2 linked regions of the Solanum lycopersicum genome follow. The protein of the gene in region 2 binds, or shares a complex with, the protein of the main gene of each other region. Links are inferred from orthologs where the notes say so. Each region holds a gene or a part of one and is shown on either strand. Other genes may lie near its edges.

What was found.
Region 1: the proteins of NADH dehydrogenase [ubiquinone] 1 beta subcomplex subunit 8, mitochondrial (region 2) and putative NADH dehydrogenase [ubiquinone] 1 beta subcomplex subunit 7 are in contact, whole or in part, in a cryo-EM structure (PDB 8BEH), measured with the Arabidopsis thaliana proteins. The link is inferred for Solanum lycopersicum from reciprocal best matches to the Arabidopsis thaliana genes AT5G47570 and AT2G02050. Residues at the interface, in NP_568684.1 of Arabidopsis thaliana: Ser103, Lys104, Val105, Pro106, Phe107, Thr108, Pro109, Arg110, Tyr112, Pro113, Tyr114, Leu117, Glu120, Leu121; in NP_565280.1 of Arabidopsis thaliana: Met10, Ala12, Thr13, Gln14, Met17, Leu24, Gly25, Arg27, Asp28, Met29, Arg69, Met70, Ala72, Met73, Ile76, Arg77.

The regions. Positions count from the first base shown.
Region 1 is NC_090803.1:2,707,162-2,711,955, forward strand, and holds the start of putative NADH dehydrogenase [ubiquinone] 1 beta subcomplex subunit 7, read right to left. Parts: upstream 2,648-4,794; 5' UTR 2,590-2,647; coding exon 2,287-2,589; 3' UTR 2,267-2,286; intron 1-2,266. UniProt on the Arabidopsis thaliana protein: Accessory subunit of the mitochondrial membrane respiratory chain NADH dehydrogenase (Complex I), that is believed not to be involved in catalysis. Complex I functions in the transfer of electrons from NADH to the respiratory chain.
Region 2 is NC_090807.1:64,703,971-64,709,211, reverse strand, and holds the start of NADH dehydrogenase [ubiquinone] 1 beta subcomplex subunit 8, mitochondrial, read right to left. Parts: upstream 3,272-5,241; 5' UTR 3,134-3,271; coding exon 2,996-3,133; intron 2,879-2,995; coding exon 2,792-2,878; intron 2,296-2,791; coding exon 2,200-2,295; intron 1-2,199. Other genes in the region: ldh1 (L-lactate dehydrogenase), read right to left, coding at 4,101-4,544. UniProt on the Arabidopsis thaliana protein: Accessory subunit of the mitochondrial membrane respiratory chain NADH dehydrogenase (Complex I), that is believed not to be involved in catalysis. Complex I functions in the transfer of electrons from NADH to the respiratory chain.

The DNA of each region.
Region 1 (4,794 bases), on a different chromosome or scaffold from region 2:
ATAAAATTGTACTAAATAAGTTCCATAATAAAGAGGATTCCTTTTTTTTTACAAATCAATGATCTCATTGCGCATCTATAAGCTGAATCACCCATAAAACCCAAGGAATATTTTAATCATCAGATCATAAAGTCACCTCATATCTCAATTAGATGAAGCACGATTAGGAAAAAAACACTATTACTCACTAATCAGACAAACCTAATAGCTATAAAAACTTTTAGAATAATGATTCAATTCTTTGCTAAGTTACAAAAGTAAGATCAAATATCAGACAGATTCTAAAATTTAGTCTCAGGTCTGCACTTGCTGAAAAGAGTCAATGGTAATGAATCATAGCTAACACAAGTAAACCTGGATATCCTCACTATGATAAAAAGAAAGAACTAACATCCTTGAAACTATAGACACCAACTGTAAGAGAAACATTCAATTTCCTAAAAGGAAAAGTTGAAAATATATGTAACAATGGTGAAGAATCTCAAGATTTATTACTATAATCTCAATCAGACACGAAGTCAGTTTCCAATAGACACATCGTGGACATGTGCTAGAGCATACTGAACACCAACAGCTTTCAGAGAAAATCCTTAAATTCCTAAAAGAACAGTTGAGGTGAAAAGCATGGATATGTGAAGAATCTAAAGATGTGCCACCATAATCTCAATCATGCACCACATTATTTTCCAAAGAAACAATCCATTATGATCTCCTTAACTTTTATTCAATGCAAGGCCAATCATATGCTGGATACTGAGTTTTGTTGTGCCAAATGCCCCTAAAATCTATTTATGTGATTGTGACTATGACTACAAGTATGGATGGATAGTGAGAAAACACTCAACTAACCAACTAACCTTCAACCTTTATTATGTGATTGTGTCTTCCATAACCTCTTATCTAAGGTCAAGTCCAAGGTCAGCCGAAGCTGTGTCATGTATTGCCTTATCACCTCTCCTCAACACTTCCTCAGCCTACCTTTACCTCTCCTGAAACCATCCAACCTCTCACGCCTCTGCACAAGGACATCCGTGCATTTTCTCTTCAGATACCCGAACCATCTCATCCAACCTTCTGGCATCTTGTCCTCAATCAAGGCTACTCCTACTTTTCCGCGGATATCATATTTCGAATCTTATCACTCCTAGTATGCTCACAATCCCAGAGCAGTGTAGGTGGGCTATATGACTAATCCATGTCCACTACACTTAATCCAACAGCCTGTTTCGTTCCAAGAAAAATACATCTGACCTAATACATATTGGAGCCCCAATATAAATCTTTAGTACCTACTCTACTCTATTCAATACTAAATAATATGTCTTTTATTGCCAAACCGGGAATTCTGTATATATTGAAGGTCATTGAACTCACATTTCTGCTTAAATGGATATACTAATCTCCAAGATATCTCTTAAATTAGAGATAGGCAAAACAAAATAAATAAAACCAACTTCTCCTTCCCAAGTTATATAACACTCACCAAATTTTGGAACTACCAAAATGTCAACACGATTCTTCAAATAATAATTACTATATACTACTCTTTTAGAGGGAATTCCTATATACAACTTTCAAACTACTTAACTACTAATCCAATATTTTCACGTGTCTATTATAATGGTGGTTTCTACGCTACTTTACTGCTTGTCAATTAACCTGCTGAGTACATGCCACCTTCCACAAACAAACAAAAAGTACAAGATATCGGTCCACAAAACTCATACTTTTCTCTAGATATGAGCCTAGTTTCCTAGGATCCATTGCAACTTTAGCGATGGTTGCATTCCAATACTAACAACACTTTCGGTATTGGAACTTGAATTCTCCTTCTACTTAACAATTACTATAATTTCTCATTTCAATACAACATTATTCGTCTTTTAGTAAAAAACTAGTTAAATTCTTTAGGTCTTCTGGTTCTCTAAATCCTACATGTATCCTTCCGAGAAATCTAAGTCAGTAAAATGCGAAACAAATAAATAAAAGCTAAGTTCTCCGTTCCAATTTGTATAACACTGTCTAAGTTATCAAAATGTTTGACACAATTCCACAAACAACACAAGTTTTTGCAATATTTAAACAAACTTCACAAACAACTATTTAATTCCTTCATCAAGTTAACATCTTAACCTATACATTCAGTCAAAAACCATCATCAAAAATAAAACTCACAGCAATTTTGGAGCAAAACTGAAACTATGTATAAGGAGATCAATTCAAACAATCACTATAACAACAAAGAAATCAAGTAGCGGTAACTGACCTAGATGATGGGAAAAAAAACTAGGCATTAGCAGTCTTAGGAATGAGAGGAATGGATTGATGTCCCTTTTGCTTCATTCGTGCTTCCTCTTCACGGATCTTCTGCATCTGAAGCATCCGTTCCATAACAAGCTCATACGCACACTTCTCATATGTATGGCGCTCATCCTCGCACTTCCATGGAAGATAAAATTCCGATTGCCGACACTTGTTCAAAGGGATCAAAAGGTGTGCGCACTGATCCCTATATGCTAATGGCACTTTGTTCTCCACCATTTCTTCTTGTGTTGCAATCATCTTCTTCGATGAACCTGGAACCTCCATTGCCAAATTGACTTTCGTTTGTTCGATTTTGGGATTTTTCTCTGCGAATTTTCCCCTCTTTTCGATTGTTTGCTCTGTAGAGATTCGCTCTTGTGGTTTGTGAGGTATTGTTGGGCTTTTGGGCTATTTTGGGGTTATTTGGGCTTTGGATGTTTGGGATTGTAGTGATTGGGCTAATATTTAGGCCCAATAAAAATTGTGTTGTACTAATAGCTTTTACAATTCTTTTTGGGAAACTTACGTAGAACTCATTACTGCTAATTACTTAGATTCACTCTAGTTTCTAATATTACGAATCTTACTAATTTTGGCTCTTTCATATACCTTTGGATATATCCAGGTACATGTATCTCGTGATGTATATTGTCAAAACTAGGTATAATTTGTTCAAGATATATTGTAACCAAATGGATTTTCATTTATCTGGGATACATGAAAAAATCTCCTCAGCCTCCCTCCCTTCTCGCTCGCCACCCTCCTATGTATTTGGCATTTTGTTTATATGTGAATCACACCAGATACATGCATATACATGTACCTAGTGTGATTCGCTTGTATCTTATATATATACATAATGAATCTTGTTCACCTCACTCTCGATCCGCTTGCCTCTCTCCTTATTTTAATGTATCTGATAACAAAAGTGTATGTATCTAGTTTTTTCTTCGTCAATATATGACAGAGAATTCTTAATTAGTGATAAGATACGTAATATTTTGAAAGTATAGATAATAATAATAATAATAATAATAATAGTAGTAGTAGTAGTAGTAATAGTAGTAATAGTATAATATATCTAATCATGTAGCTTCTCCAAAATTATTATATCAAGTTGGAATTCGAAAATGGCTATACTTGACATAAATTAGTCGAAAAAACAATGTGTTAAAGATTAAGATTTAACGAGTAAAATTCAAAGAACATGCCTTAGATTTTAAAACCATGCAAGTGAAATTTAAAATCGTGTCTTAAAAGTACAACGTTGTTATCAATAAAATTCAAAAATTGTGTCTTAAAAATTCAAAAATCAGTGTCGACTCAACAGAATGCTTCTGTATCTTATCAACGTTGGATAACTTAATTCTATGATATAAATAATTTATTTTCACTTATACATTTATAGACACATAAAAATAAAAAGCATCTTAATTTTCTTAAAATATTTTTACAAAAAATATTTTTCATCGTATCGAACGCTACATACTCTCTTGTCTCAACTAAATAACTCATCATTTTCACACCTATATTATAATTCTTGACAGTCGTCATCATACCTTCCCAACAAGAGCCACCGCCAAAAAACAAAAGTAAAATACTAAGTAATTATATGTTGTTCATCACCAAATTAAAAAATGTGATACGATGGAGTAAAATATTATCTTAATTATAATCTACAAATTCAAACTAGAGCTATTTATTCAGTTGGTTCAATTTGATTTTATTAAATCGATAATCGAATCATTATGATATCAAAATATGTATGACTCTAGTGCGAAGAAAATGAGTAAAAAGGCACTAAAGTTAACAAATCGGATTATTGGTTAAATTTTAAATTGAAAAAACAAGTCACTAATACAAAAAACGTTTTGAACTACTAGTTAACACGCTGTTTGGATAATTGTTGCTCATTATTTTATAATGTATTATATTGTATTGTATAATATTATACTATATTGTATGGTAGATACGATGTTTGGCTAGACTTAATTATTGTTATTGTTTAATATAACATTTTTGATTGTTTGATATGATTGTATCGTACTATATTATAATTTATAAATTTACTAAAATATTCTTATTATTCTAGGGTAGGAGGCTTGACTATAATTAAATAATATAAGGTAAAGAGTAAAATAGTATTTTGAAATATAATGTAACGATATAATTGGAAAAAAATTTAACTAACAATGGAAATACACTGAATCGATTATTCGATAAAATGGATATTTTCATTGTTACGCAATAACAAAATTTAACAATACGATACAATACCTATTAAGTAACAATAAAATAAATATTATAAATATAATAACGATACAATACAATATAATGAATAACAATAATCCAAATAGAGTGTAAATTGATAATCCAATCCATACAAGTAAATCGATGACATTTTCTCATTCATTAATTTATTGGTTAAATCAAAAATTCCACATACTCCCTAATTCAAAAGCTTTATTTTTAAAAAAATAAAATAAAATA
Region 2 (5,241 bases):
TGAGTGGCATTGCTGGTGTTCTTTCATATTACCATGGGTATGATGCTGGCAGGAAGGTGATTAAGTCTTTGTCATCGAGAGAATGAAGAGGATGTTGTGGGGGTCTTTTTAGAACAGGTTTGGATTCATGGGTCGGGTGGTAAATTGATTGGGTCTAACTAGTAACTACACATGGACCAATAAATTGATGCCACATTGAAAAGACCACATTTTCTATACTTGCTTCCGTTACAAGGAGGAGCAATTTTAGGCTTAAATTTAATGCTAAGTGCAACTTTGGTTCAATAAGTAGAAGGAGGGTAATTATAAGTCATTTTCAATATGTTACTGGTATTTTTGACCCTTCATCGTTTTCAGGATAGAACTTTCTTCAATGCTACAAACGCACACATATTGAACACATTGTCTTCTTATTTTTTTTATTTTTTTTATGACAAGGGAAACCCGCAGCCGCTACCCTTTGGGTGCGCACAGGGTAAAACCCACGCTCCTGTGCAATAGCTCGCAAACCACATAGGAGAGATAACCCGCACTAGGCAAGTCTAGTGCGACGAGCTCGACCCAAAAGGCAAACCCCTTGCTTTCGGCCTTTCGCTGGCAAGGGGTTTCGAACTTGGACCTCCAACATGAAAGTCCCAAGCTCAAACCATTGGGCCACCCCCAAGGGTAGGTAACACAATGATTTTTTTTCTAAAACGATAAGATAATGAAACTTCTTTCTGTGCTACCTAGCAAATCAAAATCAACAGCAAATAACTTTATGAATACAACAATAATGTCATTAAAGCTAGCTCATGACTAGTATTAATAAAGAGCATCTAGCCTTGAATTTACTGCACAATATAAATTCAAAATAGGATATGATGCAAGACGTCTCTTTATATATTCTTCAGCAAACATTTCTCATCTTTTAGCACTTCATCGTGGAAACAAAATATATTTGATTGAGTAAAAACTTAGGCTTCTTCAACGAATGATCTAACAGAGTAAACAGAAATTTTTTGATGAAGAAAACGGGATTTCACCAAAACAGCAGCCAGAGGATGAAAAATACAAAAGTGATAGAACCAGTACAAGGTATATCTACTAATTTTAGGAAAAATCTTTCTAAATATTTAGCACTACCAAACAAGAGAGAATAGGAAAATGTTTTCCGAAAACATTTTTCTTCATACCAAACATGAAAGAAGGAGCAATAAGGAAAATTGCCATGGAAAAAAAATGTAGGATAGGAAGCTCTAATTGAACAACTTCAGGTGAAGAATCCAAACCACAAGGTACTAGTCCTTGCAGCCCCAGAAATAGGAAGTAATTTAGGTTAAGAAAAGAAAAAATTGTTAAGGTGGTGCATAGAGCAAATGAAGATACTATCTCTACAGATACTTTAAGTACTACACCACAGATATTTTCACCAGCCTACTGGAGACGGCCTTTTCTTTTTAAGAAATAACAAAAGGCATTATAACTAGTGGTAGATTACTGGATTGACTATAGGTGGTAAAACCTCCGGCGATCCTCCTCTTCACTGATGGTTCAGCTGAAGGTGCATGTGCACCAGGAGGGAGCACAGAAGAATTGACAGGGTTAGGGACCGGAGAATCAGGCAGATGCTCTGATGAGGTAGTTCGGGACTACGCATTTTTCAAGTTTGGCAAAATAAAGTATGTGGATACTTTGACCAAGAAAAAGTAATACTCTTTACTAGGTTTTCGATCCTAGCATCACATCATTCTGTCATAGTACCATAATATTTCAACAGATCATTTCCCAGCCTATAAGGAGAAGATCACATAACAAACTCTAATATAATCCACGTGATGCTGGTCATTTAGACACAGAATGAAGAAACCACAGCCGCAATAGAGTTCTATAGTAAAGTTACCCTTTAGTCAACAAAAAAAAGAGTTCTTTAGTATTCGTCCAACACGAAGATCAACAAACAGCTTAAAGTAACTTTACCACAAATTGACACAGTAAACAAGATACAAGTCCACCCATAGTAAAAACACACGCAACAAAAATGCAACTCGCATCTGGACAACATGGTACAGTACTACAGTAATGTCATCAAAGCATAACATTATTTTTCTGATAAGTATGTCAAAAAAGCATAACTGATTCTATTCAAAAAAGAAAAAAGCATAACTGTTTCACACTAAAAAGGAAAAACAGAATTGGAATACAATAATGCAGACTTACAAATGGGATTTTGGAGGCTTTATCATTCCAAACAGCTAACAGTCCAATCCCCACAAAACAACTCAACCCACCGCACAACCAAGCCAATGCTTCATACTGACATTAAAAGCAGTTCAAGAATCTTCAATTATCTTATATAAATAACTTGACTAGCAAAAATGAAAAACTTGAAATCGTGAACGGTAAAGCCATGAAGATGATTCAAATACTAATCCCCTTACCAACAGATACAAAATCCTAAGATTTCACATATAGAAGTCTCCAATTCCAGACTATAATTACTTTTATTAACAAACTAAAGGGTGAAACAATGAATTGGGGATTCGTATACAAATCTTGAGCCAAAAATCCAGCCTTTCCAACAGATATAAAATCTTAATGATTTGATATACTATCAAAAATAAAAATTATAAAAAGAATAAACATGGGTTTCAAATAGGGATCCTAATCAGAATATCAAACCTTTCCAACATCAGCAAGTAAATCTCCAATACACATTAAAACTAATTTGACTAAAAATGAAAAATTGTAAACGGTAGCAAATGAATTGGTGATTTAAAAACAAATCTTAAATTAGAACAAAATATCCAACCTTTCCAACGGTATCAGCTATCCGATCGATACAAGGCTCGGGAAAAGGAGTACCGTTGTCCCATGTAAGTTCATCATTCACATGAAGCTACAATCATAACGAAAAAACATCAACACTAAATTAGGGTTTGCCAATCAAACTAAAAAAAACAAAATGAAACATAAAAAGTATAAGTACTGTATGTATTTATACTATAGTCACTACCGGCTTATCAGGTACGATATGTTTTCCGACGGGAAGGCCCATGCCGGCGCGTGTTCGAAGAGAGGATGCGAGGGAGCGGGCGACAACACCGTTTCCGCCCATTATGCGAGTAGCTACATTACTCAATCTTCCGGCCATTTTCCGATGATCGGAATCGTTCGTATCTCGCCGACAGTTCTTCGGAATTCAACGATTTGTGATTCAGTTCAATTTTTTTCCCTAGTAGAGATTGCGTTACTGAACTGCCCTTTCCATAGCTTAAGGCAATGAACCAAAACGACATCGTTTGGTAATTTCTCCATTTTTGTATTTCGGTCCTAGTTTTAGTGTAAATTCCATTAAAAGCACCAAAGTTTATTAGTGTACACAAAAGCGTCCTCCTAAAGCTGGAAATGTTAGAAAAAAAAACTATATTACGATAAATATGTTTATATGATTTCGTTATTCATCTCACATACCCAAAACATTGAAAGAGTTGCTTCAATTTATTCAATCAATAATTGAAAAAAAAAATCTTACTAAAATTGGTTTTTTTTAATTCTTATTAGTAATACAAATGATGAAACTCCCATAGGATGCATTTATCTTAATTCCTTCACTTTAACTAGAGCAAATTGCTTCTGCTAAGAACATTTAAAAGTAACTTGAATCATAACAAATTGTTCAAAGTATACAGATGATTATTCGAACGAGATCACTGATCAGCTAATAACTATATTCTCAAAAAGTCATCCGATTTAATTTTGTAATAAAAGTAGTTTAACAAATGATAATTATCTCATAAATTCACTTAACTTTATTTTGTAACAGAAAAATTACTTAACTATTGTCGTTTCACAAGTATATTGAAATTGGAGTATAATAAAATTAAATTTCTTTATAAGGACATAAAAAGTTGTGTTACAATTTATTTCAAAGTTAGCACCACGGAGCACACTAGCAAGCAGCCAATATGTCCTATGACCAATTGCTACAACACTTGTGCTACTCACTATTTTTTTCGTAAACAAAATTCAACAAACTGTATAATAAGAAACAACATATAGTAGTAGTATAGTAACATTGGTAAATGAACAGTTTCTAGACTCTAGTAGTACTATTTTTTTCAAATTCCCAACTGACTCTGCACTTCCAAAATAGTCTTAGCTGAATTCCTAAGCTGTTCAATTTCTTCATCAGTAAGATGCACATTCGTCACGCCCAAAACTCCACTTCTACCAAGCTGTGCAGGCAAGCTCAAGAACACATCGCCACCATCAATGCCATAGAACCCTTTTGCAAGAACCGAAACAGGGTGAATCCTTCTTTGATCGCGAAGGATTGTTCGAGCCAAGTTAGCAACAGAGTAGCCAATTGCCCATGATGTGTAACCTTTCAGACTAATCACTTCATATGCACTGTGCACAACTTCTTGGTGGATTTTTTCCAGCGTCTCTTTTTCCAAAGCAATTTGTTGCCTCTCAAGGAAACTGAGGACTGGTACACCTCCTACACTAATGCCTGACCAAAGTGCCACTGAGCTATCACCATGCTCTCCAACAATGTATGCCTACAAATATATAAATATATCACACAAGTATACTACTTTCACATAAACAATACACACAGAACTTAGGGTATTAATCGGATGTTAAATTCGATTCAAATACTTTGTAAATTTCTAATTAGATAGTATTTATTATTAATAGTATTTTAAATTCAACGGAAAAACAAATTTTAATTACTATATTAGATATGTTGTTGTTATAATGTGTTAGCTTATTTCTATCTATCGAACTCGAAAAATAGGAGTTTTTCTCCCTTCATGTACTTGGGAAATAGAATTCCTTCCATTTCAATGTAAGTGTCTTGTTTACTCCCTCACTCCCTCCATCCAAAAATGTGTCTCTTTACTAAAATCGGATATCTTTTATTTACTCTAATTTTCTTGATAGACGTGAAACAAGTTAAGATGACACTTATTTTGAGACAAATAAAGTATCTTGTTAATTAATCCATCTATTTGAATACAAAAAAAATAAAAAAAAAATGAGGTCATTCTTTTCTAATCTGAGAGAGTATATATTCAAACATTTCAATTTGTAGTACTTTTGTATAATTTTAATATTTATTTTAAAATATTAAATTGATCCAATCTAATCTAATTTATTTATCAAAATTAGGAAAATTAACTCTAAAAAAGCATCTTCTTATATTATTTTCATATAGGAATGTCCCTTTTTATATTTACAGTAATTTTTCACTTC